Lepisosteus oculatus: one gene and its partners. The protein of the gene in region 3 purifies or fractionates together with the protein of the main gene of each other region. This does not show direct contact. Links are inferred from orthologs where the notes say so. Each region holds a gene or a part of one and is shown on either strand. Other genes may lie near its edges. The genes, in order: rpp40, rpp30 and rpp21.

Region 1 (10,555 bases), on a different chromosome or scaffold from region 3:
AACCCTTTTCCTGCAGCTCTGAGAAATCTCATTGAACAAGGTGGCTTGGTCCGGATAAGCAGGCAGAGATCTCGCCCTCCTTCTATCTTTTAGGAAAACGTCTTGCTGATCCAAGTGTGCAAAACCGTCAGCATGTTTACTGCAGATGTCTGACGGCACTTCTCCGCCCCCCTTTAGATTGCTGTGTTCCACGGCTTCAGTCCGGAGAACGGACCCTTCTGCAGTTCTCGAGTCGGACGTATCGTTGAACTCAGTTTTGTTTGTATCCATGAGTTGTTTTCAGTGCAAGCGAGTGCACGTTTAGGGGGGAAAATTGCTCTGACTTATTGTTGCTCCCCCCCCCCACCCGTGTTTTTAAGAATATCCGGAGAGGTCCGGGAGAACAAGCTGCCTGTTGCTGTCCAGCATCAGCTAGTTTTGTGGTGCGTCACAGCAACGTAACTTAGAAACACAATATTACGGAAATAACCAAACCAAGAAGAGACACACCGGGCAACGAGGCAAACAGCACGTACTGTAGAATATTATAGGCTCATTATAATAGTGAAAGTAGCCTGTGGCTATTTAGACATAATATTGGCGAGCATGCGTTTCGAAATTGAAATTATACAGTAAGTTCTATTGGGGAGGTGCGGCAGCGGGCGGGTTGCAAATAAAAAGCCGTTTAATTCCACACTGCGTCGAATGCGCTTTCTTTGCGCGCTGCGCTACATGTAATATCCAGGCAGCGAACAAAAGGATCCATTTTGGTATAAACCCACATACACTCATTGCACACAAGAGAGAAGACTTCTAAACTATAACTGGCATTTCCTATTCTCAGTACAGTTTTGAAGTAGAGTGTACAGTACATACAATATAAGCTTGACCCTGTTGCGTCTGACATGGGACAGCTGTTTGAAATAACGCTGTCAATCCCAACAGGCTTTATAATTTTTTGTTAAGTCTGTCTTGTACTTCGTTGTCCATATACAATCACCGTGAGGGTAAACGTCTGCGTATGTAGCGATGACATTTGATTTATAACAGGGATAGCTTTACCGCATTGACATGTTTTAGCATCCCTGTCATTAATTTGCACTCAGCAGCTTTTGTTACGCTTAAGCCTTTCACTCGTATCTCGTTGTTTTAAAGTAATTATTGGCTAACTATAACAAGAATAACATGATATAACGCATATTTTGCGTGAAAACGTTTTTTTTAAGTCAACAGATAACTCAGAAGTTACCAAATGTAACGAAAGAATATCGGATAGTTTACCTTTTAACAATAAATGACTTAGGCCTGACCACAATTCTAAAAAGCGTCGAATCGTTAACGGCTGAAACATTGAAGTGCTTTTGAAGCACCAGTGTTTGTGTTTCAGCAGTAGTACTGCATAAAACCCTTGATGAACTGGAAAATACATAAAAACTTTTTGTCAAAGCTACTTACAGCACCATGACTAAGTCTGTATAACTTGCCTCTAAAACCTTTCCCCCCTAGGGGGAAACTATACAATATGCTGCCTCATTCATACAGATAAAAGGTTATGTTGGTGATATGAATTATTTATTTTACATTCGGTAGACACTCAACAGTTGTTAGAGCACTGTTCGCGTTATGCAGTGAGATATACAATCTAAATAATATATATTTACCATTTTATAAGTAATGTATGTATTGTAATGCAAGTAAGTCTATGCTTGGATAATAACAACAAATGCTCAACAGAACAAAATAATGAAAATGGGAAAGAATTTGTAGAAATAACGTCACACAGGAAAAGCAGCTTGTTCATCATATCACATCTTTAAATATGTCCTTTAAACCCAATGGTTTGAACTCAGTTAAGTAAATCAGCATAAATTACATAACACAGACTTTGCGCATTTAAAAGCTAAATGTACTAAATACGTCACAAAGAAGGCAAAAAGTGTACTATCACAAATATCTGTTTTGATGACCAGTGAACTACGCACATATTTGTTCGCTCGTGTACCTGAATAACAAAGCACTGCGGGAAAAAAAGCGTTTATATTGGAGTGTCCGGTCCAAAGACTGACCGCGCTAAATAATGCAGTATTATGTAATATTATACTGTAGATCCCGCATCAAAAGCACATTTAACACATGCTTTTTTAACTGCGTTTTTCTGTTTGATTTTAAAGTCCAAGAAACACTTTTGCCTAGTAGCATTGCTTAACAGAAATCTGTCTCCATCTACTTTTCAATTTGCAGCAGCCTAACAGAGTACGACATCGGATATAGTTGTGTCGCATTGTTGCATATCAAAACTATACTGCCTTCACCAGCTGGAATTAACATTATGATCCTTATTTTTTTCCCCCGTTGTAATGGGTACATTTGGTACTTTTCTTAAGATTATTCTGAAACTGAGAAACGAAAAGCTATAGATATTCAATACATTGTTTCAAACGGGTAGACAGTAAAATTAAAAATTCAAATTAACATTTACGTTGATAAGTTCTGGGCACGATATGCACAGTTTGGTATAATATTTTAATAGTGTATAATTTAATTGATTTACAGTAGTACAGTAAAATTACCATCTGTTTAGATTAAGCAGTGGTAGAATAGCAATTATAAATTCAGGAAGATAATTGAGTTACATCTCTGGTAAACAAAAAATATTTTATAGAGCCCCTGTTCCCCTCTTCATCTATTAGATGAGTCAATATTATCACATTGTAATAAAGGCTGATTTGTTAATTTAAATGTTTTTTCCCCTTAATTGCATCTGGTAAATAAAACTGACATTTCCTTCCAAAGGAGTGTGCTGTGGCTCCTGTCTTCAGAAAATTTAATGAGACCGCTGAAATAAAACATGTCACAAAAACAAAAACTTGTAACAGAGTTTTCAAAAAATGGTTCCCGTGAAAAAAGTACTCAAAGAGATTAATTAAAAACCACTCAAAACAAATAAAAAACATTGGGAAACAATGACGGCCAAAAGCAATGAACAAAAAATACACACTAAATGTGTATGATCTTCTAGTAAGAGAATGGAACAAAATCAGAACACAGCGTAGGTCCAATTGCAAATCTCCAGATAGTGTGCAGTTGTCTTTTAAATGCAATAAAGTCAGTAGTCTAAAATATTAGGAACCCCAGTCAAGTATATAGACCACAACAGGTAATATTCTGGTCAAGGAGCAGGAGGCAGAATTTCATCACTTTCTGACCAGGATGATCCCCAGATGTTTATCCTTGTAGATCCCGTGTCTCCTGTGTTTGTAAACAGAGTGTAAATGTCACCTCCACTTGGGTGTTGTAGCCGAGGTGCAGGAACTCTCTGGTCATGGATTTACTTGCCTCCAAAGAATCAACCCCTTGCCTTGCATTATTTTGAACCTGAGACTACACATTGGGCATTGATTTGTTGGTGCACCTTTGGGTTGGAAATCTCCTTTGTACTGTATGTTCCCAGCACTACCTCTCCTTCTGCAGTGTCTTCTGCATGTGAGGTTGGACATACCCCCACTGTCTGCTAAATTCTGGTGGGAGCATGGAGACTCCAGCTGCCTGTTAAGCATTGAGTCCCCACCAGGGACCTTTGTTTGGTTGTTTTGGTACGTAAAATGACCAATTCTGCCTGCAGGATGAGTGAGCTTAAAGGCTGATGGATGGAGACTTTGTGTTGAACCTGCACCTCATTGCGCCGACTAGTCTACCCTTTTTGCCAAGATTGCCTCAACCCTGTGTTCATGGTGGCTTGGGAATGCCTGTTTCCATTCCTGATGACTGCAATTTGTCCTTGAAAGAGCATGCTAGGCCCTCTAAAGTATGTACGGTCAAAGAAACAAAGTCATCCACCTTTGTAAGCCACTTTTAGATGGCTTCTTATTCTATCTAACAATAATGCGGCTTAAACCACATCACCCCAAGTTCTACAAGAGAAGGTTGGACAGGACTGATGTGGCAGGGTACCATTGACCTGATTTGGCATTCAAGCTCAGTAAAGGTCTCTGAAATGCACTTTCCCATTGGGGATCCCCATAAGTCCTTTTTAGGGATCCAGGGCTACTAAGCCTTTCCCTCCTCTGCATACTGCTGCCATCTGCTGGAATGGACAGGTTTTGGGAATGGGAAAAATGCAAAACTGGCCACCCCTGTAACAACTGGCATGAAAACGAATTAAATCAAAACGAATTAAAACTGCACTGTTTTTATTTTATTTTTAGCACTTCCATTCAAGTAAGATTGAAAGAATCTAAATAAAATTTAAAATTTAATCTGAAAGGGCCTGGATTCTTTTCTTTCAGCGCTATTTTAGTTTTTTTATTATGTGGTTGTCCTCTGTTTGTGCAATGCCCCGTTGGGTTTTTTTTAGAAACCTTAGTGCAAATGATTTTTTGTTTCACCCAAAATAAAAATCTGAATCTTACTAATTACTCCATTTTACCGTTTTATTTTCTAACTGTTAAAGGAATATTGTCTATCCAAAGGAATTCCATGCATCCATTTTCTAGCTGCTTCTTCCAATTCAGGATCACAGGAGAGCTGGAGCCTATCCCGGCAAGCAACAGGAGCAAGGCAGAGCAAATAAACAGTTGTATTTAATTTATGTGCCAGAACTCATCTGGAGCACTTCTACAACTAGAGAATGTAAAGCACTTCCAACACCTGAACATCATCAGAGCCACACAGCTTTGATAAACAGTCCTCTTTTATCTTTGCAGTTGGTTCTTACTCAGGTCTGGTGAGCATCCAGGAAACCAGTAATGTGGTGTGGAGCTGCATACTGAATTTGCTCTTCTGTCGCAAGGACCCTAACACCACACCTTAAGATCTGTTCACTTTATTGGCCATATACAATTTCTTGTATAAGAACAAGGACAATGTACATTTTTCTGGATTACACAATAAACAATGACAATGGAAAAGTATCACTGGATGAGATCCACTAGCTACTAAAAGCCAAACCCACTCAGTAGATACAGTAGGCTGAATACACCCCTGTAGTTTGAAAACATTATATTATTTTACATTAAAAAACACAGATACTGTATATATTGTCCAATGTTACAAGCTCTGTGGGAATGTTCCAACACTTTCAGTCTGAGCTGAATTAAAGTCCTCCAGGGTCCTGGGCAACCTCTGTTTCCTATGCCCTGTAGATGGAGGCGTTTTTAAGAGTGTATTGAATTCAATGGGTAGATAGGTAATACAAATTTAGGATTTTGTTCGAAAACATATTTATTGAAGAAGAGATATTTGTTACAGTTTTATCATAATCATAAAAATGCTCAAAATTTCTCCATAAACGGTTTAATTTTCGTACGTCTTTGGCAGTCTTTGGATAATACGGCCCTGCAAACATTGACGTCTCAGGTTTGAAAGCCGCATTTTTTAAAGCCCTCCTTAAATACAAAAGTACTATTTTTTATGGTTTCTCGCTTTCCTTCTTACGAAGGTGTTTCTTGTTTGTCACTCACATTACCGCACAAAGATGATGTACTGTATGACTGTATGGAGCACTGGTTAAACCTCCGGTTTATAGTATAACTCGAATATTGTGGACTCACTTCTTACGCGGGGTTCTGCTCTTCTGCTACAGTTGAGCAAAGAAATTTACTATTATTGCAAAAATGTCTAACTGTATAAATGTATAAATCTATATAATATATACATTTAAGATGATTTAGATAAAAGTATCAGGGACATTCGAAAATATGTTATATGTGTTAATAGAATATATAGTTTGTGCTTCCTAAGCGGTTTGCTGTACTACATAGCCTGTACTGAATCTCAAGGTTTTCGTATCCCTGAGTTTGCTGCATCCACAGCTAAAACACCATGAAGACGTTTGTGTTTGCGCAGGACCTGCGCTTGAAAAACTACACAGCATCAGCAACTGCGTGCGAGGTTAGTGACGTAAGGCGCAGATTGGCAGGTCAAATTCGCAGCAGGGAGCACGCGACAGGAAGTGATGTCATCTGCGTCATTTTACAGCCTACCATTGGCTACTCAAAGGCGCGTGTACGAAGTGGTCAAAGAACCAAAACAGAAGAGGAAATACTTCTCATCTTGAGCCTTGCTTTTGCATAAACGAAGTAACGCGTTGAATCAGCTTTGATGAAGGCACTGTTTTGTGCTTGTGACTAACAATGCTGACTGACCTGGAGAAGTGTCCAAGGCATTTACTGGTGTGTGAGAAATCGAATTTCTTGAATGAAAAGTCACGTCATGACGTCCACGTGGCCGGTCACTATTTTAACTACAAGGTGAGTGGTGAGTGTTGAGTGTTGAAAACGTGATGTTTTTTGCAGACGCAAAAATAAACGGTGATATTTTAATATGCTTACTTTACAAAAGAGCAAAAGCATTCGGTCGCTTCTAATAAGACAGTCTGCGCTAAAAGGCTATACAGATTAAGATCTGATTTACAGTATGTTGTCTCCAGGGAACAGCTGCATGAAATGAACAGAAACTGAAAATGAGCCAGAACTTCCAGAATTCCAAACCACCAGAGTCCTATAAGCAGAATTCGTGTATACCACATCATCTCTGTCTTCTTTTTGCTTCTATGTTCCTGATAGATTCTTCCACTCATGTGGTTACGTCTTTGATTTAGCAGAATCCTACCGGTAATTTGGAGTCTTATAAGTGATTCCAGGGCACCTTTTCAAGTCTGATTTCGTTATGTATTCCTGGTAGATTGTTTTCTTACAGTATTTAAATATAATAAGAGTGTATGCATCTTGCACTGGGGCAGCTTCAAGTGAAAAATACTGAGAGTCGTGGGCTGTAGAATTTGCAAGGACGATTTTAGTTCAGAGACAGATGTCATTAGGAAATTAATCTTCGAGTGACAGAAACAGGAAACGGTGACGTCAGACAGAAATGCTGTTTGTAACCTATGTTGAAAAAATATTGGCTTTTATAAAGACGGACAGAGTAAAGGTCTGAAATGCCCGGATGTATTTACAAATCATATCCACTTGTATCTAAAGACTGACCTATGGTGATTCTGCTACAGTACAGAATTTATTTTGAATTTTGATTTTACTGAATTCGTACATCTTGGTGTTTTCTAACTTCTTCTTCCAATTCAGGGACACAGGGGAGCTAGAGTCTATCCTAGCCAGCAACAAGTGCAAGGCAGGATACACTCTGGACTGGATGTCAGTCCACTGCAACTGGGAGAAACACAGACAAACGCAGAGAGAACATATAAACTCCACACAGATATCACCTCAGGAATTGAACCCAGGGCCCCAGCACTGCAAGGCAGCAATGCAAACCTCTGCACCACTGTATCATCAGAAGCACTAGCAAAGTTAACCTATGTGCTTCTTCAGAATTAACACTGAAACGTGAATCGGAGACATACGTGGAGTCTAAGCAGAAGTGCAGGTTAAAGTGAGAACAGGAGGCACTTCTTCACACAAAAGGATGTGGGTGTCTGGAACAAGCTTCTGATGCCATCTGCTCTTCCATGAAATGCCTGGATAAGATCCTTGGATTGACTTATGACCAACCGAATTAAATATATTGGCAAAAATGGGCTTCCCTCATTTGTAATGTTTCTTACGTTCTCATACAACATTTTTCTACATCACAAAAACACATCACAAAAAACTGAATATTGTTAAGGTTCATAGGTTCAGTTTTTATGAATTCCAGTTGTGCCATCAGTTTTGTCACTTAAAAGCAATACATTGGTTTCTTAGAAAACAGGTTGGTTGTTATAAATTCTTTTGTTATAGTGTGAAATTAGTTTGACATGCACATTTTCATTTTATGCATCTTATGTACTCCATTGTATCAGAAATCTGAATTGAATTTCTGTTTTTCAAACCATCCTTTAGAAAACATAGTAATCGCTTTTGTGGATTTACAAACACCAATCAAAGGTGATTTTAGTGTGTTGGGACAGTAGAACCAGCTGCCTCCAGAAAACGAACAGAAATAAAGCAGAAATTAAGATTAAGATTAAACTGTTTTTTTATCAGTGTGGACTGTAGAAATGTTTGGTCAGGGGAAGTTGTTTTCTGGCAGAAACAAGTGTGTACATATGTATTTTGGTACAAGTAAATGTTACTTTCCCCATGCTGAAAAATATCCAGGTGTGAAGAAGGCTCAAGGGCCAGAATGTTTCTGCTTTCAGTGTGGATTAACCCTCTTCTTCCTTCTTTTTTTTATAGCAAATGCAAGTTGATGCAGTGCCTCATTCATATGCATTTATGCCTTTTGCTAAAAATCTGACAAATAGGAATTGTATATCCTAAATTATCCCTTTTGATTGTTCTTTTTAACAGGTTTCTGTTTTAATTCCTGAGTGTGGAACACTACCATTGGGGCTAAAAAGCATTGTGAATAGCATTGCAAAATATTATTTGGTGAAGAACTTCCCCATCTATAAAATACTGGAAGAGAAGTTTCTTGAAAAGCAGGTGAAAGCAGGTAGACCTGTTTTAATTTTCACTGGAGTTTGAATTTATTAGTGGTCGGGTTCAGTCGTTTATTCCCATGATTGATTCTGAGAAAGAGATTGAAGACACACCACTTCTGATTCCCTAAAGAAAAAATCTGTCTGCTCGTTCATGTGAATGTCTTCCCATTCCTAAGGCGCAGTGTTCTGTGCATTAAAATGAGTAGCATCAATATGGATACTATATTCACACCAAATGCAAAATGGAATACTATGACAATGATTATTGTCAGACATTATCTGGTTGCTTGGCCTTGTGTGTTATACTGTTAGATGAAGGCACTTTATGCACAGTGCTTGGAATCTGTGGGAAACTTATGCAGTCCTCTGTGTGTGTGAGTGCCCTTTTCAGTGTGCCTGATGTCTGTAGTTCTGACTCTTGCATCTGATTTGAAAGTTTTTGTATAATTGCAGGATCCCTCTGTGCTCTGTCATACAAAACCAGAATAGACCAAGACAACACTTTTGCACTTCTTCCAACGGGTAAGATAGATCAAGACGATTTTACACTTGATGAAAGACAGAACTCCATGAATATGCCTGTCCGTGAAGACCATATGTTGATTGTTTGTAATCCTTTTATCCTGTGTACGACCCTGTGCCATACTTGAGCAGTAAATGTGTGAAATGCTCTCAATTGTAGCACAGAATATCTGTTTTTAGGCGTGGGAACAGTAGTAAAGGAAGGAAAAGTGAAAACATCTTGTTATTCGGGTAGTTTTTCTATGATTACCTTAATAACTAAAATGCCTTTTAATTGCAGGAAAACTAGTTTTATCTCTTGATAAAGACACCTACGAGGACCTAGGATTGGAGGGCCAACCGTCACAGTATAACCACAAGGTGCCTGTGAGATATGGTGAGTAGTGGCTTGGCCGTGCTGTGCCGAGGTGGTGGAAATGCATGCTGACAAGGTTGCACATGCATACTATATGTTTGAAAGAGGTCTTCTTTATATTGAAGTCTCCTTTACCTTCAGTTACTGCTTATCCAATTCGAGGTCCCAGTGGCCCGAAGCACCGAGCGCAGGCAGGATACACTTTGGATGACACGCCAGTCCATGACCGGGCAGACGCAGACATGCAGACACTCACACTAGACCCAGTTTTCCAAGAAGCCAATAAACCTACCAGTATGTATTTGAAGCGTGAGAGGAAACCAGAGCACCTTTCTGAACACGGGGAAACCATACAATCTCCACGCAGCACCCCAGGAATTGAACCCAGGGCCCCAACACTGTGAGGCAGCAATTTATTTTTTCTCCAGATTTCCAAATCCTTTTGTTTATTAAATAGTAAATGTCATTTCTCTTATTTAACTTTGCTTTGGTGTTCTTTTTAATGTTGTATAATAATGTGATTTTCACTCTTCACGTTCACTGCTTTTGCCTTATGTTTGTAAGTTTATTACTTACAAACCCTCCACCACCACCAATGTGCAGCATCCACCTGGATAATGCGACGGCAGCCATAGTGCGCCAGAACGCTCACCACACATCAGCTATCAGTGGGGAGGAGAGCAGAGTAATGTAGCCAATTCATAGAAGGGGATTATTAGGAGGCCATGATTGGTAAGGGCCAATGGGAAATTTGGCCAGGGTGCCGGGGTTACACCCCTATTCTTTTCGAGAAACGCCCTGGGATTTTTAATGACCACAGAGAGTCAGGACCTCGGTTTTACGTCTCATCCAAAGATCGGCACCTGTTTACAGTATAGTGTCCCCGTCACTACACTGGGGCATTAGGACCCACATAGACCGCAGGGTGAGCGCCCCCTGCTGGCCCCACTAACACCTCTTCCAGCAGCAACCTTAGTTTTTCCCAGGAGGTCACCCATCCAGGTACTGACCAGGCTCACACCTGCTTAGCTGTGAGTTGCAGGGTGATATGGCTGCAGGGTGATATATCATTATGGCTGGAGGTTGTGTTTTTGGTGACAATGTATATACAGTATACAATATAGAATTGTTTTACAAAAACTCATAGTTTAATTCAACTATGAGTTTAATTCAAGCAATTCATAGTGCACCAAAAACTGTGTTCAATATTTGTAATTCTTTGTGATGAACTAGTTTTTTACACACACCCGAAGAAGGCTCCACAGCCGAAACGTTGCGTT
Region 2 (10,972 bases), on a different chromosome or scaffold from region 3:
ACTGAAAGCAGCTTCTGAAAGTTGCAAAATCATAAACATAATTTTGAAAAACTGCATTCTATAACAAATCACTAATCTTGCAGAGACCATTTGCCTGTCTTAATATCTAGAAATAATGGGAAGAGTCACAATTATAAAATTTTAAAATATAGTAAGAAATGGAAAATTACACTGCTAAAAAATTAATCTTTATATAATTTTCCACTGGTTCTGAGGCAAGGAAAAGAAACTTACCTCATAAGATTCTTTACTTACAACAACTTCTTCTTCTTCTTCCTCCTCCTCCTGGATGATGTCCTCCATAGTTTCTTCCAAGCTTTCTTCTTCTTCCTTCTCCTCACCATCATCGTTTTCTTGCACATCCTCTAAACTTGTATCCCAGCCAATTAAGGAGCTCCTTCTCTTTCTCCAAAACCTCATTTTGTCTGCATTATTAATAATGAATGACACCTCTCTGGCTGACTTCTTTGGAACAACAGGAGCGAGCTTTGTTGTACTGAGAACCACCACCTGCAGAGATGGAAATAAAGAGAGTCAATGAGCAGATGAAACTGTAATTAACTTTTCATGAGAAAAGTAAAGCCCCGTCTGTGAACAAGGTTACTTAATGCTGCTAATGTAATGGCAGAGATCAATATCAAACTCAGTCTTAAAGAAAAACAAAGATAATTAGAGGCATTTCTTTCTGTAAACATAATACCATTTTTGTAAGCACATGCAACATACTCAGTTTCTAGAACTTAAAATTATTATGGGAGGCGATACGTTGTCAGATAAATGTTTACCTTCTGAGCAAGTGCAGAAAACTTCAGTACATTCAATGTTTCATCAAACATTGAAGCACACTGGTTAATGTTCACAATCATACAAGCTTTTCCTCGGCCACAGAAAAAACCTTGAAGGTAATGGGTCAACTTGCTCTCCCTGAAGGGTACGTGCTGTAGCAGCCTAAAAACAATGCACAGTAAACACCACGAGAGACAATTTAGTAATCTTTCTACTCTTTCATTTACACATTTCTCCTTTACACTCTTCCCCTGGAAACTGTGATCCAGATTTCAGTCTCTTCAGTTTCCCTGTTCAGCGATTCTACCCATTCTCTTTTGCAGTTCTTACCTTCCCACCCCTTTGCCATTCATACCTCAACACCCCTGAAGAACAGTGGATTTCTTGCTTTTAAGCCTAAAAAATAACCTTTACTTGGTCCCTTGCAGCTTGCAAACCAACATAGCTCTCCAGGCTCATTTTTATGAGTATTTTATACATTAACTTTTCTAGAAAAATGCTAAAAGAAAGGTTTTGCAATTGTTTTTTCTATTTAGGGAATCAATGTTAACGGTAATATTAGGGCCAAACATTCTCCAGTTTTAGAGAATCTCTAAAAATTATCTCCTGTCTATGCAGTATGCTGTTGCCACCTTGTGGTTCAATTGAAAATAAATTAAGCATCCTCAGAAGACAGACTAGTAAGTCCTAGAGTAGCACCAATCAAATGTTTTAGCTTATAAGCAAGTAAGTACCTTTACAGATATACAAGGGGGAAAAAACACAAAACAAAGGAAACAAATTACTGAAAACACTTTAAATGTACACAAATGATCATAACTACCCAAAAGTATACCAAGTACTAGTTACGAATGATAAAACTTAGCTTCTTACTTTGACTGCTGGTTGTGTCTCAGTGCTTTGAGACATTTGCCCAAGATCAGCAAGGAGCTATTAATGTTTCCTGCTTCTTTTAAGCGCTCTCCTTTGTTCTGGGTTTTGGCACATCTCTCCGATCCAGCTAGATCACACAATGACAACCTAAAAAGAAAAAAAAGAAGGTCAAACTTTGCATTTAAAAATCAACAAAGCAAAAAAAAAAATCAGTAGCAAAAGCGACACTTACTCGCTGATATTTTGTACACGAGGTATACCAAGATCTTCAATCCGTAAGATTCTGATGGAGAAAATGCTGTGGCTTTAAAGACAAAAACAATTGGAAGAGTTCAGTCCCTTATAAGAGTGTTCCAAAAACAACATTTCCATTATTACCATTAATTGGCTGATTTCATCTAAAGAAATACTTATTTAGATCCATTTCCATGGCTAGTATTTACTCCAACTGCACCCTTCTTAAAAGATAAAAGCAGTGTCCCACCAAGCATCTGAACCCACAAGTTTCGGTTACGAGTCCAGAATCAAATACTAGTGAAGATTCCCAAAACTGTGTATAATTTTTCCATTAGCAAACACTCTACATAACAGAATGTGGAAGGAAATAATGCAATGTCCCAAACCCCCCCCCCAAAAAAAACAAGCAGTTAGAATTACGTTTTTTTTAAATAGCATTACCTTCTGCTGGACAGATGATTCAGCTTTGTGCAGGAAAAGCTCTGGTGTTTCTTCCCCAATTTTAGAACTTTATATGCCTCATCTGCATCACTCACCTGAACCCACTTGAGATCTAAAAACGTAGAAAGACTCAGGTCTTTAAGATGTCAGTTCATAAATCCTATCACATATACACCTTAAAGAGTTCTTGTCCAACATCCCCACCAGTACAGTGAAGCCCAAAGAAAAAGAAAACAGAAATACCTTTTACAAAAGGATTCCCTTTCACATCTTGTGAGAGCCGAAGAGTACTTCTCTTCATGGAATTATTTGGGATCGTTTCAAGCAAGTCATAAATGTTTTCATTATAGATTTCACAAAAAGACACCCAGACCGAGTATTTGGAGTGACTGTTCATATCCAAAGTGAAGCTTTCTGAATCCAATTCTTCTGTGTTGTTCACAGCAGTGCCTGTGAAAAAACAGAATACAAACCCAAGAGGAAAAAACGATTTCAACAACAAATGCAAGTGTCGAGTTGATTGGCAAATATTCCACATAGCTAGCTTCTTCAAGAAGTAGTATTGGGCAAAACCCTTGTTTGACTTATATATATATATTAAAAAAATCCTTTAATAGGCCTTAAAAGTTTGAACGTGAATACATACCTTCAAATATGGCTGACTTGCTGGTCGAATTCAATTGAGAAATCATGCTTTTCTGTAAATCACACTGCATAGATAAATTTAGATAAGTAACAGTATGAAGCACAGGGAATACGAAAAGGTAGTAATTTCGAAAGATTACCTCTTTTGCTAATCGCAGAATGGTCTTTTTGTTTGCGATTTCCTTCGTGAGTTGCTCTTTGTTCAGCCTCATGTATTCTCTGCATCTCTGTGGTTTAATGTCCATTTCTGTATAGATTTTATCTTGAATGTTGTTGAATATCATATTCAAAGATCTTGGCAGAAGGCCACTATTGTTTTCGGGCCCTGTAAAACCAAAAATCTTATTATTAGTTACTAAGCTACATTTGCAACCATGGATGGTTTGTAATAACAGAAATAGCACAAAAGAACGTAGAAAATCACACCTAAAAAGGTGAAGGTCTTTCCAGCATTGGTTACTCCATAAGTAAAAACAAGGGAGTTTCCCCCTTGAAGAAAGTCTTTAACTAAAGACTTGACTGTGCCATCAAAAACCTCCTTCTGTGTTGCTTCTGGACCATAAACCTGAAGAAAGTGAACATAGAAAAAACAATGAGCATGACAGTATAACAAATAATCATGAAACATTAATTTCTGGTCACATCCCTTACATCTAGATGAGAATGTTTCATGGGATAATGTGCTAGATCTGGGTTCGACAACTCACCTGTGAAAACTGAAACCGCTGGGCTGTTTGAGGAAGTGACTTATCACTGAGCCGAGATGATAAAGAGCTCCTTGGGGCCTTGAGGAACACCTTATCTGGATTCTCAATGCTAACGCACTCCTGCACGTTTAAAGAAAGAAGAGAAGAGAAATTAAATCTAGAATTACAAGATTTGACACGTTACAGACGGTTACTGCTCACATTGCGAGACCCTCATGTTAAGAACTGGACACCCTTCGCTCTGCCTTTTTACCGCTTACCTGTGATTCGTCGCTGTCCATTTCAGCTTGTGTGAAAGGTCTGATACGAAGGTAAACCTGCAAGTGTTCTCTCTCCTGTAAGCTGGACTCCTGGAAGGCATATATGCACATTTTAAGAACGGTGCTTAACGCACCAGTGGAACTTCCTGAGTGGAGGACACTCTGAGCTTTCAGAGATCCTCAAAAGGCATACAACCTCAACTACAAATGAATGCCAAAACATACACAATCAAGAGGTATAAACAAGTAATCGAATGCATTGGAAACCAAAATTTTAAAATAAAGGGCAGTTACCAGCAAAAAACAAACAGCTTACACATCACCAAAGGAAGCTTATTATGCTATGAAATATATGGCACTATATTTAAATGTAGAAATTTGGAACAATCATGTCCTCCCATTTCTGTAAAAATGTAATATACTACTTTTGATTGCAAATCTGTTTAGAAAAAGGCTACGTTACAGGGCTAACTTGTCTGTTACCCCTACGCTGGGGCACAGGGCTGTTTAGCTAACGTGACAATTACCGATTAACCATGCTTAGCATGTGATAGAGATGCATCATATAACACCTTCTTAAACTTTAGGTCAACAGCAATTTAAAATGAATTAAATCAGTTCTTTTAAAAGCAGCTTACCTCAGAAGTAACAGAAGACATGGACAAAAACTCTCCAGAAAGATCTTTTTTCAAATCCTCTATACTCACAGCTTCTATTTTTTCCAATCTGTCATTAAAGCAGGATTCCATCATGCTATAAAAATATGCAGTGCAAAAAACAGACATTAGTTTCAAAATTAGACAAAATTATAAGGTTGCAAAATAGTGGAGACTCTCTCTCTTTTCGTATTTGGCAACTCGGTGAATGTGAAATTTTACCTAACCGATGGAGCCCAAGGTTTCGGTTTCAAATATATGGCTGGGATGCCCAAGAGTGATATCCACAACATTTTGTGTAATGCCAACACAATTACTATTTTCCATCCTAAAACAATTCCTTTTTTCGTTTCCAATTATGACCCCACGTTCCCGTTATCAAAACAGGGTATTGGGTCATAATATTTAATAACATTTATCTGAAGTACTCCCTTGGACTAACTTTTAGGGCTACATATGAATTAACCAATCTCTATTCTAGCATTGAGAAATTGTATTCCTTTAACCTCTCTGCATATGACAATTCCCTGTGAACAGGAATTATTCTCACAGGTGTGCTTTGAACTCGAGGTCAAGAATCTTTCTTTGGTATGCTGACTAAACTAAACAATATTCTAAATCAGGTATTAAGAAGGCTCCGTAAAGTTGGACATAACTTCAATATTTAAATTCTACAATTTGTTAAATACTCATAAATTCTGCGCACTTTTATTTCTACAATGCTTGATATTTTGGATATTGATATTTCTCCAAGTCTTGATAACAAAGACAAATCTGTATTAACATACACATTCTTTCATGTGTAGCCTCCTGCAGATCTACAGTAAATCTATGCAAAATACTCATTGATTATTATTATTAGTGAAAATAAATAATCTAATATTTTCCCCAAATGTTTACACTTGTTTCTTATAGCTTTTTAAAGTTTTATATTAATTATCTCTCTGTGATTGCATTACACGTTTCTGCTTCACCTGTAACTCAGAATAATGTTATTAATTTTGGACCTGTTTAGGCAGACAGTAGAGAAATTTACTGCTCATAGGAAGGAAGTGTTCTCCTATTTTCTCCATTAGATGTCAGATTTTCCGAGTCCCAGACTCTGGTTTACAGATTAATATACTTTTTTTTCCTATCCACGCCCTTAAATCAAACACAAGGAGTACAGTAAATCTAAACTTGGCAAATATCCCACCCATCTAACTAGGACCTAGTTTTCGTGGAATTGAATGACCGATACATCTTTAACTATTAAAGAATTTATTAATCAAGCAGGAAAACACCCATCAGACAAAATGACACTTGACAATCAGCCAAACAAGCAGCTCACATGATAAACAATACCAATAAATTGCATCTCCCCAGAAACACCTATACACCGCAATCTCCTAAACCACTTTTACATTTAAAAAAACTTGAAACTAAAACGTAATTGCGTTGTATAAACCCTATTGGTTTTTTAGGGGTTAGAACTAAACTACTTCGGATTACCTCACGTTGTTATTACTTGGAACGGAAAAAAATAAGTGCAAACAATTTAAAAAGTCGCAAATCATAGCAACAACCATTTATGCACAAACATGAATACTTTCTGAAATACAACCAGAAATATCACCAAACTTACACAGACAATGATTTTTTTTTTCCCCCCCCGAAACCTTTTATCCAAACCACAGCACTCCGTTCTTCATAAATGATCGCGGTTCTTATTTTTAAAATCAACCAATCAGGCGTCACTAGCGAAGAGGGTCATGGGAAAGGAAGCGGAACTGGAAAGACGAAATTGTTTTTCTTTTTTTTCCAATGGGAATTTGTATGGCTATGAAATACAGCTTTATAAATCATGCGTATTCGAAAAAAACCTCCAGTAAAGTCCCCAATATGATTAACTGGAGATGCAACATTTATGTTAAATTCAATTATACTGTGTTTAACAGTGTTTAGATAACAAATAATACATATGAGCGTAAAAACAATCTCTTAACTCTTACAAAACAACGAGAACTGTACACACAGCATATTCAGAAATACACTAAATGTTTATCTAATTTCTTTAAGATGGACGGTATATTACTTAGCCTTTACTACATTTCCCATGCAGCACCGGTGCGGACAATCACTTTAACCCTTGACATGAGCTCTGTGTGTCTCACGTGGAACCAACATGGCTGTTTTTGCAGATTTAAACATAAACTACACTGATGATAAAAAACAGCTTCGGGATATTATAGAAACTGCAGCACATCGTAAGTATTGTTTTCAAAGAAAAAGTTATAGATAACGAGTAACTCCCAAAAAGTACATGGTGAGAGCACATGTTTGATTTACAGATACAGACAGTTGGATGCATACATCGTCAAAGTGAGGCTTTTTTACTTAAGTCAAAATTACAACTGTACTTCGCTTTGTATTTATAAAGCTTATTTACAGTGAGCTGTTTGCTTATTCTAATTTTCTCTCCTAAAACGTGCTAATTTTAACAGTCCCTATATTAAAGCTGGGACACTTCTTGCTATTATCCGAATTTAAAACTAGGCTCAAACCCTTTCCCATCTTTTTTTTTTATTTCTGTCTTTTCAGTTGGTTATTCCACGGTGGCAATAAATCATCTGATTGATTTACAACCAAAGAAGCAGGTAACAATCGGGGTACATTGTATGTCAATCATACACCATCAAAATATTTGCTAAATGTATGCCATTGCTGAAATCATGTTTGGTTTGCAGGAAATAAGGAAACCTGCTTCTGTTGATGAACTGTTCAGACAACTCCCTGTTGTACAGGTACTGTAACGATGTTGTTGTGGTGCTTTTCTGCATTTATTAAACTGGCATAAGCGTGCTGTCATTCTGTGTACTTGAACTGAGATGGCTAAATATGATGTCAGTAAAGTCAGCTCTTTTGTAGTACAACTTTGTGTTTTACTTTGTGGAGCTTTTGAGCCTGACAAGGCTGAGCTGGATGATGGGTTTGGTTCAGAATCTGGAGCACAGTAGACACTTAACATTGACTTGTCTACATCTGATGGCCTGGGACACCTGTGGGGTAACAGCTAAACAGCTTATAAACGTCACTGAATAGAGTTCTCAAGCCAGAGTTCTTCATCTTTCCAGTTTTAGTCATGGGTATTTTGCCAATTTCAAATATATAAATGCTGCTCCTTCGTTAAAATAGTAGCGCAGCACATTTGCACTACTAATTTCTCTCCAAGACAGACTGAAGAGTTTATAAACTAAATGTATGCTTCTTTTCTTCCTAGGGGAAATCCAGGCCAATTAAGGTGTTGAACAGGTTAACACTCGGAGTTTCTGATGCATCTCACTTTGTAAGTACAACATTTTTGCTGTGGAATGTGTTATAAATGACAGTGCATTTATAATATTATGTGATCTTATTTTTTTTTCCTTCTTTTCCTAGAGGCCTTCTGCAGATTTGAAGTATTATGACCTTGTGGCTGTGGTCCCTAAAACAGAGAAGCTGTTTCATGTATGTAGGAATTTAGCTCTTTTGTTGCTTCTAAATCACAAAAAGAAAAGGAGAAGAATACTAAATAAGTAGTACTGCTTTCAAATTATTCTTAACACGATGTTTTACTAATAATATTAAAATAGATAGGTATCCATTTTCTAAAGTCAATTGTAAACATATTCTTGATTAGAGTGTCGGTCTGGAATGTCCAGAGTTAAAAGTATTGTATTTACTGCAGCAATTTGCCACTTGATATTATTTTTTTGCTGATATGTGGATATGGTTTTTAGGATACTACAAATGTTGACAGATATAATAACACCCCTCTTTGCATCATTTGGATTTTGGTAGCCTGACAGCCATTGTCAGAAATGTACCTACTCGTGATATTCGTGTGTTAACAGGCAGCCTGCATGACATTTGATGTTGACATAATCTGTATCACTGTCACGGAAAAGCAGCCTTTCTTTTTCAAAAGACCTCCCGTAAATGGTGTAAGTACATTATACCGTACCTTGTCAATTTAGATAATTGCAGAATTTTTGTTTTCAAATCTGTGTGTGCCTGATTAATTAAAAACATTCCAACTTTGGATTATCTCTATTTTGAATACATTGATACTGTATATTGGATAAAAAATAATTTGGCTAGGAGTCAATTGGAAGTACTAGTTGGAAAAGGCAAGATGGGAGAAAATGACAAAATTTCAAGTTTTTTAAATTTAAGCATTTTTAAATATTTCAGTTATTAATTCAATGGATTCTGGACTAGGGTATTTGTCAATATAGCACATGCAAATTACAGCCTTACGTTTGGTTAAAATATGTTTTTGCTTTCCAGGCAATAGACAGGGGAGTGTTCTTTGAGATCACTTACACCCCCGCTATTAAAGACTCTACCATGAGAAGATATACAATCTCAAATGCACTCAGCCTGATGCAGACTTGCAAAGGAAAGGTATTTATTTCAGGGAGCATTGAAATATGTCAAAATGCTGTGTCTTTGTGAGCACAAATTTTAAAATATGCATGTTTGCCTAACAAAGACAAGTGGTGACAAGCTAATTGCTTTACTTTTTACTTTTTTTTTGGTTGCAGAATGTCATAATATCCAGTGGAGCAGAAAAGGTATTTTCTATAATTCATTTCTCTTCCTATTACAATTTCAGGAACTACTGGCATTTTTAACTCAAATGCTATAAAATACTGTTAAATGCACATTCCGTCACACATTGACATTTATAGATAGACACTTTATTTGCCTTTGGCTTCTCCCACAGAAGTACAAACACAAGCAAAACATAAGAATCACATAAAGTCACATGAAATCACAAACAACAATATGTAATACATAAATAGTTGAATAAATAAATAGGTAGAGGGGGGGATACATTTACATACCTTCATTGATATAACAGAGGGGACAAAGGACTTCTTATAAATGATTTTATGTGATTTTGGTCCCCTGTGGCGTCTCCCTGATGGGAGGATTATGAGCTGAGAAAGGAGTGGGTGTGTGGAATCAGCTGTGACTTTCCTTGCCGTTCTGAGAACTGCGTTATGACGTAATTCGTTGAGCTGGGGCGGCTGTTTCCCAATTATTTTTCCTGCCATTTTCACAATTCTGGACAGTTTGGTTTTGCTTTTCAGCCCCAGGTTTCCATACCAGTCTGTTATGTTAAATGCCAGGCCGCTCTTGACAAGGCTTTTATAATGCCATCTCTAGGAGATTTTGACTAACATTAAAGTTCCTGAGTCTTTGGATTCAAAACACCCTCTATCTTGCTTTCTTAAAAATATTGTCTATGTTCTCAGTGTAGCTCAGCCTCAGATCAATATGCGTTCCCAGATATTTAAAACTCTCCACAACCTCTACGGACTGACAAGAACTATTGTCTGCAAAGATTGCCCTCCGCTGGTCTAAGCATTGAAAAGAAGCTCTTTAGTTTTGCCACATTTATTTCCAGTGTGCGGGATTGGTACCTGTTTTCAAGAATACTGATGTTTTTAAAGTAAGTTTGCTCACCCAGATGTTGGTCCTTTAAACGGAGTCCCACGAAAACCATGTCATCTGCATATTTAATCAGACTGGCTGTGTACTTTGAATCTTCACCTCATTAGTATATATTGAGAATAAAAAAGGTGACAGTACACGTCCATTCAAGGCGTCTCTCTGAGGTCGATCTGTAAGGGAATCTTTGATCCAGCATATAACATTCCCATTTGAGTCACACAGGCGTTGTAAGAGAGTATGAACTTGCATGGTGTTAAAAGCAGGGCTAAAATCGATTAAACGAGCTAACGCAAAAGAATTTGAGTGTTGAAGATGCTTGGCTATGGAATCAATTAATGTAAGTGTTGTGAACCCCTACACAATATAGGGACCAAAGCAACAAAAGGACTACAGCACCAGGGCTATACTTGACAAGGAAGGAAATGGGGTATGAGCAGTAAAGTACACAATAGATGCTGACAGGCTAGTTCAGAAGCAGAAGCTAGTGAGAGATGGTATACTTCTAATGGTTGGTGGTAGTAAAGCTTCTCTTCTAGACCCAAACAGGTGACCAGCAGGAGCCTAGAGAGAGATAAGAAGGTGTAAATTTGTTATCCAGCCCTGGAGGAGCAACAGGGCCAAGAGTACAAAAAGACTCATCTTTTGAGGCTGTAGGACTATGTTGCTGCTTGCTGTGTCTAGCCTTCCTTTAAATGAGTTTTGTAAGACTCTTTTTTTCTCGTGCTTTTTCATTTTTACCATTTAACATATATTATCTTTTTTTCCCACAGCCTTTGGACTTGAGAGGACCTTATGACATTTCTAACCTGTATCCTTGTGTTAAATATTTGTGGTATCAATTACTTATGCTAACATTTGAAATTTGTATGTAAGCTAATTTGTGAGC
Region 3 (10,718 bases):
CACTGCTGGCCTTAATGAACTTTTCTTTTACTCTCCAGCTGTTAGTCTGGCCTAATGAACCTCCTGTGAGCTCACTGTCTGAGGGCCGGATTCTGTACTCATAACTGGCAGGGAGAATTGTGACAAGGAATGAGAATATATTTTATTTTTGCCTGTGATGCTTTCACTTGATCAGAAATCTCCCAATTCAGTGTTGATTGTGAATTTTTATACATTTATATTTTTTTTTCTTCCCTCTTTAAATAAATTCACTTAAACTCATTCCTCTCTCTGTCCCTCCCCAGTTCCACTTAGGTATCTAAATACTTGAATCTCAAATCTCAGAAATCCTTCACGGATTAACTCTTCAGTCCATCACTTGTCAGTGTTTCTTTTATTTCTTCCTGGTTTGTTTTTAACAAAAAAACTGTTTACTGTACAAGAGTAGTTCTTTCTCTAATTCACTGGGACTTAGGAGGCTAAACCTTCAGATTTTTTTAATTTGTTTTAAAATTTTTGTATATTATGTACTTAAAAGTGGAAACCACAGACTAGAAATCAGGACATTTTGACTAGCTGTTTTATATATATGTATATGTATACTGTTTATTTTGTTTTTAAACTAACAATCTGACATGACGGTTTAGCAGAAATTTTAAGTATTTGCAGTTTTCTCTTTAGGTAGTTTTGATGTGACAAATGGTCATCACTGTATTTCCATTTACATGGAATCTAACTTTTCATTTTTGAAAGTAAAAGCCTCATATTGGCAAGATCAAAGAAAAAAAAGCTTTGGATTCAAAGTTTTCTTCCCCTCTCTTTCAGTAATTTAAGATTTAAATGTTCATATTATTTTTTATTTTGGAGACTGGAAACTAAGCAAGTGGATTTGCTGAAGCCTATTCCAAAAATGTATTTTCTATTTTATTTAACTTTGGATTTTTTCAGTAATGGTTCAGTTCCATAAAAACATTTTTGGAGACCGTCATCTTTGTCATTCTTTTACATGTTTTTTTATACAAGTACAGTGAAAGAGTAACTGGATACTGTAGTCAAACAGGATGTGCATAACATTTTTAGACTTTTAGTTTTAGTTCAAATGTAGAAAAGTGGGAAGAGAGACTGATAGAAACACAGTTTTAATGGGTAGGTATGTCACACCCAAGATACAGTATTGTAAGGCATGCAGGCTTCTGTCCTAAGACACAACGGGGACAGAAGCAAACATTACCACTTGAAAGTGAGAGAAAATGTAGATAGGTGTCTGTGTGTGTAGGTACTGTATCGGCTTCAAAGAGGTAATTCTGACATAAAATAGTCAACCTAGAAATGGTATTTGAGATCTTGACCTGTGGTCCAGGGTGTACTGTTGAAACTACTTTCAACCACTTGTATATATACAGTAAGTAATGGCAAAGCCTGGCTCAAGAGATTGGCTCAACTGTAAGAGGTTTTAGAAGTGCAAGGAGTCAAGAACAGACCAATTGAACATGAAAAACAGGTCTGGTAAAATGCTGTTTAACTTGACATCTAGGAGGCAGCAGTCCTACCAGTGACTCCAAACAGCTTATAAGACACACAATTCAAAGGGAAGAAAGCAAAGTTTGGGATCAGGGATGTCCAATCCTCGTTCTGGAGGGCCAGTATGTCTGGAGTTTTATATTTACAACTAGATTCCAAAGAAAACGTTTATTAAGCCTCCCCCTGAGGCAGCTAAAACTAAAAAGAAATCTTTCTTTTTGTGTCAAAAGTATGCGTGATAAATGTCCATGTAGCCAAAGAGACTGGATTTTTTTATATCTATTTCAAAATCTATTACTTAAGTTATTTTAACACTTGGTTTAACCCATGGATTTGCAAGGCCGCATAAAAATGCATTTTGTCAGACTGAGTATGACGGAGACGGGGCAGACAAGGTAGTAGTCATAAATTTACACTAGCACTTTCTCGTCTGCCATCTTTCGGCTGAGACGTTAGACCGAGGTCCTGACTCTCAGTGGTCATTAAAGATCCCCGGGCATTTCTCGATAAGAGTATGGAGTTATCCCAGTGTCCAGGCCAAAGTTACCCCTCAGCCTTTACCGTGGCCTCCAAATTGTCCCAATGTATCTATCAATAAAGTATCTATGTATGATTGGCTTGCATTGGCCCTGCGATGGACTGGTGTCCTGTCCAGGGTGTACCCTGCCTTTTGCTCGTGGCTTGCTGGGTAGCTCCGGCTTCCTGCAATACTGTATGGTATAAAGGGTTGGGCAAATGACATGACTTTCTCATCTGCTGCCTGACTTTATTTGCTGAAATTTAGATAACGTAAAAAGGAATGCATTTTCAAGAAATATTAATAGCATGGTATATGATATTTGCAGAAATTTAATGAAATCACCACTTAAGCATTAAATTAAGAATCAAGGATTCAGCACTGCAGCTAAAAAGACGAAACAAGCACCTTATTTGAAAATTAACAGTGTTATATGTGCATTTCCGTGATGCTTTTCGCCCTCAAGGACTCCAAAGCGCTTTACAGGAGAAAATCACTTCTCCGCCACTGAGCAGCAACCATCTGGGTTAATGTGTAAATGAGACGGCATCTCCACAGTTTGGAGAAATGGAACATTTTTTTTTGTTTCCAGGCCAAATGGTGCAACCCCATTGTGGGATTAAGCCAAAATACAAACGGTGTCTGCTGGGATGGGATTTGTAATAACTGTAAGCAGGGCTGCAGTTTAATGTCGCTCGTTCCTTGCCGGGTAGGGTCCGGCAGGTCGCGGCGATATGGCGCCTGTGTACCGGGGGCGTAGCCAGGAATTGATTTTTGGGTGGGCCTGGCTCTAACTGACCGTCCTGCCAGCATAGGAGCACCCCTCCAATTTACAATGCAATCTTCGAGCAGTATAATCAAACAGCGGAATTAGCATAACCCTATATATATACTGTCTCTCACACACACACGGGTTAAGCAACAATTACCTGGGCTGGCGAACGCTACTGATTGCAAAACGCAAGATTTAAAAGCCGTCCGAAATATTGTATTTAAAATGCTGAAAAGAGAAGAAAGAAAACACAACGTTTCGGCCGTGGAGCCTTCTTCAGGTTCTTTCTTCTCCTTTCAGCAAGGAATAAACCTATTACTTGTTCCTTTGCAGCCTACGCATGCTGACGCAGCTGCCCACTTGTATTTAAAATACCATGCAAGGTTTACCGTGACCTCCGTGAAGTTTGGGGTCGTGACGTCACTCAGCCCCCCTACAATGTCGTAGGGAAACCATACCGGTCTCATTCGTTAGTGCTATGTTTGTGCCGGTTTGTGTTGTTGAAAATAACTTCCCGGCTTCTTTCTTTCCCGAGATACAGTATAGCGCCCTTTTGGGGGGTGAGGTCACTCAGTGAGAATCGACACTCTGATTGTGCAAAGCGCCACAGCGGAAGTTCGGAGAACGTGTAGATACACAGGTGATGGATGTTTTTCTTGGTCCAAATACTGTCGCCCCGGTTAACAGTGTGTGCTGTATGAGCACGCTGGATATACAGTAACACATCCATTGGTTTCCAATTACTAATCAATCTAAGCGAAGTCGCACTGAGGTCAAAACTGAATAGCAGACAAAGAATGTCTTGGCATCCACAGCGCGTTCATGACTCCAATAGCATGTCAGGATAGGAGTGCGCGCATCACGATCACATCGCGATAGCCATTGCGACTGGCGCGACAGTAAGTCCATATATTGCGATATGACATACACCGACAAAACGCCCCCGCCCACATATCGCGATATGACAAAACTGCTATGCTTATGTCACGACATGAAAGGTCCTATATCGCGATATGACAAACGCCCACCCCACCCCCCCATGTCGAGACACGAAAAGCCCTATATCGCGATATGACAAACGCCCACCCCCCATGTCGCGACATGAAAGGCCCTATATCGCGATATGACGAACGCCCCCCCATGTCACGACATGGAGTCCATTTATCGTGACAATGACAAAGACTGTCACTCTCATGTTGCGACACGAAGCCCATATATCGCGACACATCCTATCTGGGTATATTATGTTTTGATATGAGACCTTTGTTGCGACAGCGATGACAGGGTGGCATGGAAGCAAGGCGCCAGTTGTGATATACACTGCTGCAATATACATGCGATATATATGTGGTCCTTATCATGACATGCTGTGGAGGTCTTGTCGCGGTGGTATCCCACAGTTAAGCGTTTGGCAACAGCGTGTCACGGTAGGGAAAGAAAAGGAAAATGTACCTTAGAAAATAAAAACTATAGATCTTACAATCACGGTGATTTTACGTACGTTACAACCTTAGGTTTATGTCATAGATGGTTAACTTGTTGGAATGCGTCATGTGTTAGTATTATTCACATCTAAGGAGGCTCGACCCCGAAAAAACAAGGCGCTATATCTCGGAAACGAAAGCAACACAAACGCAGTTTTCAACTGCACAAACGTAGCACTAACGACTGAGGTGGGTTTCATCGTTTGTGCTGTCTGTAGTGGGGGCAACTTCACGGAGCTTTTACCTTGCCGTTGAATATTCAGCGGACTTCAGCATAACATACCAGAAGAGCGTGCACGCACGTATGGGTTTCAGAGGTTGGAGTAAATGCATCGCCCCAAGGGTAATATCGAGTGAGGCGCCATGAGAATAAAAAGGTATTAAAAAATTAAGTTCTGAAGACACCCAATTTGGAAATTCGTGACTTCCAACAAGACTCAACACTGAATTGTTATAGTCGCATTACAGTGCTAACCAATTCATAGTACCTTTAATTGCAAGAATGGTCTGCTAATAAAAGTGTCAAATACATACTTTGGATGTATTTTAGCTCTGTGAACGTCGTTCACTTAAAAATACTACAGGGCATTTAGAGGCGATCTGAATAGTTATCAGTTAAATGCACACTCGCATCTATCCGTCAATAGTATCTTAATGCATTCCAAAACTTGTAATTTGGTTACAGGAGAAATTTTTAAAACCTCTTCCTGCTTAACTCCTACATGTCGAGCATGAATCGAGCTGCTACAAGCAAACGCGTGCACCTGTGTTCGGGAAGCCAGGCTGCAAATCTTAAAATCCAAGATGCCTGTATCATCTCATGTGTCTTATTTGTTTCGGGACTGGTCTGGTCAGCTACAAGCTGCTTTTTGAAAAACGTAGATATATGTATTTGTTTTGCCATATTGGTTAATAAACCCAAAACCTAGCGCTAGATAGCTCTAAGAGTCTCTGATGACAACGATAGCCAATTAGGCTACTGCTACGCATGCACCGCCCCACTATATTTACATAATTGTCTTATTGGCCACAAAAGATACCGCGAGCCAATAGAAAATCACATAAGAAGAAAAAAATAAAACACGTAACATTAAAAAGCAAATCATATAACGCAAACAAAAAAAAACCATATTTAAATTACTTTACACTGATTGGGTAGAACTAGGATCAATCAGGGTGGCCCACCCGTGGCTACGCCCCTGCTGTGTACACCGGTTCCGCCATTGGTAAGCTGCACTGGGCAGCACCGCACTCTCATAGTCCCCGCCCTGGCCACCACTGCTCCCGTCCTGTCCCTCGCCGGGCACCCCAGCCGGGCGCTCTTCGGCCGCAAAGCCAAGCGAGGGCGTTACAGTATAAAGCGGTTCGGTAAATGAAATGACATGACACGACATGATAAATTAATCGTTTGAAAAACATGCATATGATGTGTAACTTAAAAAACAAGGAGCTCACCAGCGAGCCAGTTTGTCGCATGGCCGGTTAGCTCAGTTGGTTAGAGCGTGGTGCTAATAACGCCAAGGTCGCGGGTTCGATCCCCGTACGGGCCAGTTCTTTTATCTTGTATTTTAATGTTACATTTGTGATTTGTTGTTGTATTTCGTAAATAATTTAACCTGATGTTTAATCTAACCTGCTGACTGCTACCAACGCATTAAATTCCTTCATGCCATTACGACGTTCAACAAAGTACCACCTTGGCACCATTTTTAAAACGCGTTTTGCGTTTGTCTATACAGTGTGTCCTTATTTGCTTACCATCCACTACAAAACTTTATTTATAACAGAAAACAGTATCTTAGGAACATCTTCAATTGTTGTTCATTGATTTTCATGTGGTTTTCTGTAAATTAGAAATTGTGCATGATTGGATTGTTAAACAGATGTAAACTTACTTTTATCAACTTCTGCGATATATGATCGACCTCCGGTTGTACACGTGAGTTATACTGTCGCAAGTTTACCTCGGAGAATTCAAAGTTAACGATTTTGTCTTTAAAAACGATTTACGGAAACACCGCTGAAAATGTATTATCCAATAGATTTGCTGAGGAAGAAAAATTGTTATTTCGATGGCTTATACTGTATCCAGTTATGCTGAATGCAAAGTAATCAAAACAATAAAATACACACTGTTTTCAGAATCAAATGACAGTAACAAAACATCACATATAACAAATACGCTTAACACAATGAAAGATTAAGTTTGGGAATTTACGTTCTGCTTATACGAGAATATGACTAAAGATCGCTTTATATCCACTCCTAGATTGTCCTGGATCGTCATTGGTGCGTCACAGACAGAACTACAGAATGACTGGCAACATCAAGGATAAAGAAGCCTTTCAGAGACTCAACTTTCTTTACCAGGTATTATGGTTTTGCCCTGGAATGGCAGTGGAACTGCAGTTTCTATATTACAATGCAGTTTTGTATAATTTGCAGACCAAACTGTGCTCAGTCGTAGCTGACTACTCCAAATATCTCGAAACTCATGCGCATGCTAAATATAAATATGAATACTATGCTTCACTGCTCTTGATTATATATCTTCTAATCACTTTTTTGATAATTAGCCACAGTGTGATTGGATATGCTTAGTTTAGGTTAAAACTATAGAAAATATACCATACATGAGACGCATAAAGAGAGCCTTTCTTTGGCAAGCACTATTTTCCACAAGAAAGCATTCAGATGGAACCTTATACTGTAGAATAAACTCATAATTAAGAAGTACTGTTGTCCTCGAACCAGCTACAATGTTGATTTCATGTAATCTCATTGCCCCTTTGAATAGCAAAAGGATAGTTCTGGTCTAAAATTATAGATGTTTATCAACACCTGTATCTGGTCTTTCCAACATAGCCTGTTGCAGTGAAGGAACATTTTTGTGCAAAATAGGTCGGGCTTAAGTTTTATTCACTTTTGTCTCTGATGCATTAAATACATTCAGTGAGGGACTGGGTATGTTTTTGGTTGGAGTTTCTGGAAGGAATATATTTTATTCCATTATATCAGGGCGGTGTACTGATAATGGCAAATAATTTTGATTTGTTTGTGTTTGAGAAGTATACTGAACATCAAATAAACTTCTTACATTATAACTGCAACAAATTCAGAAAGTATTATCAGGAAATACACCTTTTTGTAGGAGGTGCACTAATGTTTTAGAGAACAGATGCAACAAAGGGGTTCTTCTGTAAAATTGCAGCCTTGTGTCACCACCTTTGAAAACCGTAGATTTCCGATACATGTTTTGCAGCAGGTTGCAGATACTGTCTTGTGAGATTCTGTCCTGTTCTTCTCATAGAATGTGGACAAACCTGTGTCTGCTTATCTCACAAATTTTCAGTGTTGCTCATACCTGCTGAGCAGGGCATCCACAACATAACTCGAATTTTCTCGTCTCACGTGAGAAAGTTGTTCTTACCTGATCCGCAAGAGGACACGTTGTTCTGCAGGAATGTCCTGACAATAGGATTAGTAGTGAGTGAAGCCCCAGGAGTCATGTTGTCAGATTACCATCAGTCATTGCACGAGGAGTTTTGTAGCAACTACACACACTGGTCCAGACTGTCACTCTTGGAATTGTTCATCGAGATTGGGGAGGTGTCATGACCTCTGGTTTCACACATCGTGGCTGTCGTCGACGAGCTGTTTTCAGTTGTAACATCTGGCCAGATTACAATCACCAGGCTGTGAGGTTTGTTTTGGTTTTCATTTTTGATTCTCGATAGGCTTAACATTCAACAGGTTGAATCACTTTTCCAGTGACCTGTGCCCAATCAGCTTTCACTAATGAGTCGAATTAGTATTTAAACAACAGTCACCAGAATCATTAGAGGTCAGTGATCAAAATGATACCAAAACATTTAATCAGTTTTCCAAAATCCTTTTTTATTTTTCTAGGAACATGTATGCATATAGAGAATAGGTTCCTTTTAACATTTGGTGTATCACTGTTTCCTTTCCTCTGTGCACAGGCTGCACACTGTGTCCTGGCACAGAACCCTGAGAATGTGGAACTGGCCCGATTCTACTGCTTCACTCAGAAGACCATTTCCAAACGCCTCGTTCTGAGACAGTAGGTTCATCCACCTGACTCAGGGCCTGATGCGTCCTTTCAATACCTGATAAAGAGCTGTCCAGAGTACCACATACAGACATGGTTCTGTCATTTTATCTGAATGGAACAGAAATCAGTTTTGTACCGGTGACTAGTGTATTGCTAGGAGTTTCTTTTTATGTCCTTATTTTACACACCTCCTGGCAAATACTCTCTGAAGTATATTACGTAGATTAAGTATGCTAATCAAATTTAGTTATGAAATTAGCCATTACCTTTCCCATCTTTGCTTTGGATGCTAGACATAAATAGGCTGACTAATGTTTATGCACAAGCCTGTTCTGAATCTGTTTTGGTAACCTGATGGTTCACATTTCTTGCAGGGATCCCTCTGTGAAAAGGACACTGTGCAAGAAATGCTGCTCTCTCCTGGTTCCTGGAGTAACTGCAACAGTGAGACAGAGAAGTAAGTTTGGCAAAGTGCATTAACAGTACCCTCCAGATGTATTCACACCCCTGAAGAAATAGGAACAAAAAAACCAGCATAAAACAGTCAGATCTACAGACTAGATAATGAGCCCTGCTAATTGCTTTAAACACTACTGAAACCTTAATTGTATTGCAGAGAACAGAGTCATAATTCTAAGAAATAACCAAATGAAGAAAACGCAAGGGTCTGAATCCTATTTGAAGTATTGGGCTGGCTGTATTACAATGCTCTCCCTATGTAGTCGAGTTGCTCAACATTTTTTCTGCTGTCGGTAATATCATGATATCTAAATGGTTCAGACGTAACATGGGAAATTCTGATAATGTGATATTTTTTAACACCACTTAACTTTTTACTGCCAGGAATCCATTGTTTAAATCCAATTCTACAGTAAGAGCTCATCTTGGAAATGTACCTTTCATGGATTAATTTTATTTCAAAATTAATCTATGGGTGAGAGTCAGAGTTAAAGGGACGTGGTTTATACAGCTGACTATTCCATCTTTTTCCTTATGGGGGCAGTGTGCCATCATACCTCAGGCTTCAGTAGTGATAAACTGGGATTGGTGCTGTCTGATAGTGTTCATTTTGTTCTCAGGGTGTAGTCGGCGTCAACGAATGACAATGGTGAGATGTCTTAGCTGTGGACAGACCAAGCGTTTCCCTAACAATCCAGGATACCAGCTGTGGGTGGACCGGCCTGAAGCCCAATTAGAGAACCAACCACAGTTGGATAATACAGGTAACTCTCAGGTGACATTGCCTGCACAGCTCTGTCATTACTGCACTAAGGACTTCGAGAGCATTATATCCTACCATTACCAGACATTAATCTGAAGTCTGAAGGTAATGTGACGGCAAGATGTCATTAGGAAGTTCAAGTAGGTAGCTGTGTCGGCTGCAAAGGAACAGGTAAAGGTTTATTCCATGCTGAAAGAAAAAGAGACACAATGTTTCGGCTGGACAATTGTGTTTCTAATATGTCATTATGTTTTTAGTGGTGGAAATTTGTCTTTCATCTACAGTACCTAAACAGACTGAATTAACCAAAGATGAGCACACCCACCTGTTTCGTGAATCGACACACCACTCTATAATTAAAATAAAGTATACACTTGCGCAGGACTGCAATTAGTGTTAATCCGAGATGAATTAAATGTTTGTGTAGCCCCAGAAGACAGAGGCACACAGGAGAAGCATTTCATTTTTAAAAAATCTTTTCCTACAACTAAAAGGGGAGATGGCAAAATAAGTTAATTTGAAAAAAAAAAAAACGTTTAAAGAGCGACTGATTGTAGCCCTCTGGTTTAGGAGTTCTGTGTTGTCCAAGGTGTTCTCTGACCTATTTTTAGCTCAAGCTCTTCGATGGATCTTTGTGTCTACAGAACACAATCCAGGGACAAAGTCTCAGCAGAAGGGAAAGCCCACCAGTGGCAAAGCAGGGCAGGATCCCGGCCCTGCTGCAGGCCCAACAGCTTAATCTGTCCCCTGATCCTGCTGGAGCAGCTCGTGACTCCCTGCAGTCTGCCTGAGCGCAGCAAGGCTGTTGCAAGGGAGTCGTTTCTTGAATAACAAAGACATTAAGTAGAATGTGTAAGATCAGATTGAATCTAGCCAGAAGGCTAAGACATTCTGCCACACAGCGCTGTCTGCTTGTACAGTTTTACTCACTCACCTCAATGAGCAAGCATGTGAAGTTGAAATATTACAAAAGTGTTGGTTATGGAAGACTACTGTAGAAATAAATGGAGGACAAAATGCATTATGCATGGGAAAAAATGCTCATACTACATTTCATTCTTTTTTAGTTTAAATACATTTATGATTTTAAATTGATATGATGCATCTTTTTGTAACGTGTTATTGTTTTTTACAAACAATTCCTTGAG

Evidence for each region.
Region 1: the proteins of rpp21 (region 3) and rpp40 purify together in Homo sapiens (co-immunoprecipitation; 3 studies listed by BioGRID and IntAct, counting the BioPlex papers as one, with this or other methods). This does not show direct contact. The link is inferred for Lepisosteus oculatus from reciprocal best matches to the Homo sapiens genes RPP21 and RPP40.
Region 2: the proteins of rpp21 (region 3) and rpp30 purify together in Homo sapiens (co-immunoprecipitation; 3 studies listed by BioGRID and IntAct, counting the BioPlex papers as one, with this or other methods). This does not show direct contact. The link is inferred for Lepisosteus oculatus from reciprocal best matches to the Homo sapiens genes RPP21 and RPP30.

Annotation. Positions count from the first base shown.
Region 1 is NC_090701.1:18,537,463-18,548,017, forward strand, and holds the start of rpp40 (ribonuclease P protein subunit p40), read left to right. Parts: upstream 1-5,936; 5' UTR 5,937-6,110; coding exon 6,111-6,227; intron 6,228-8,264; coding exon 8,265-8,409; intron 8,410-8,851; coding exon 8,852-8,920; intron 8,921-9,200; coding exon 9,201-9,296; intron 9,297-10,555. Other genes in the region: ppp1r3g (protein phosphatase 1 regulatory subunit 3G), read right to left, coding at 1-270. UniProt on the Homo sapiens protein: Component of ribonuclease P, a ribonucleoprotein complex that generates mature tRNA molecules by cleaving their 5'-ends. Also a component of the MRP ribonuclease complex, which cleaves pre-rRNA sequences.
Region 2 is NC_090699.1:21,221,063-21,232,034, reverse strand, and holds the start of rpp30 (ribonuclease P protein subunit p30), read left to right. Parts: upstream 1-6,718; 5' UTR 6,719-6,769; coding exon 6,770-6,851; intron 6,852-7,185; coding exon 7,186-7,241; intron 7,242-7,331; coding exon 7,332-7,388; intron 7,389-7,864; coding exon 7,865-7,930; intron 7,931-8,022; coding exon 8,023-8,091; intron 8,092-8,477; coding exon 8,478-8,567; intron 8,568-8,913; coding exon 8,914-9,030; intron 9,031-9,170; coding exon 9,171-9,200; intron 9,201-10,856; coding exon 10,857-10,894; intron 10,895-10,972. Other genes in the region: kif20bb (kinesin-like protein KIF20B), read right to left, coding at 1-14, 235-510, 786-948, 1,660-1,806, 1,892-1,963, 2,338-2,449, 2,581-2,787, 2,984-3,047 and 5 more. UniProt on the Homo sapiens protein: Component of ribonuclease P, a ribonucleoprotein complex that generates mature tRNA molecules by cleaving their 5'-ends. Also a component of the MRP ribonuclease complex, which cleaves pre-rRNA sequences.
Region 3 is NC_090708.1:10,612,823-10,623,540, forward strand, and holds the start of rpp21 (ribonuclease P protein subunit p21), read left to right. Parts: upstream 1-5,546; 5' UTR 5,547-5,641; intron 5,642-5,749; exon of another isoform or gene 5,750-5,823; intron 5,824-6,047; exon of another isoform or gene 6,048-6,212; intron 6,213-6,542; 5' UTR 6,543-6,586; coding exon 6,587-6,643; intron 6,644-8,256; coding exon 8,257-8,357; intron 8,358-8,722; coding exon 8,723-8,805; intron 8,806-9,427; coding exon 9,428-9,571; intron 9,572-10,181; coding exon 10,182-10,309; 3' UTR 10,310-10,718. UniProt on the Homo sapiens protein: Component of ribonuclease P, a ribonucleoprotein complex that generates mature tRNA molecules by cleaving their 5'-ends.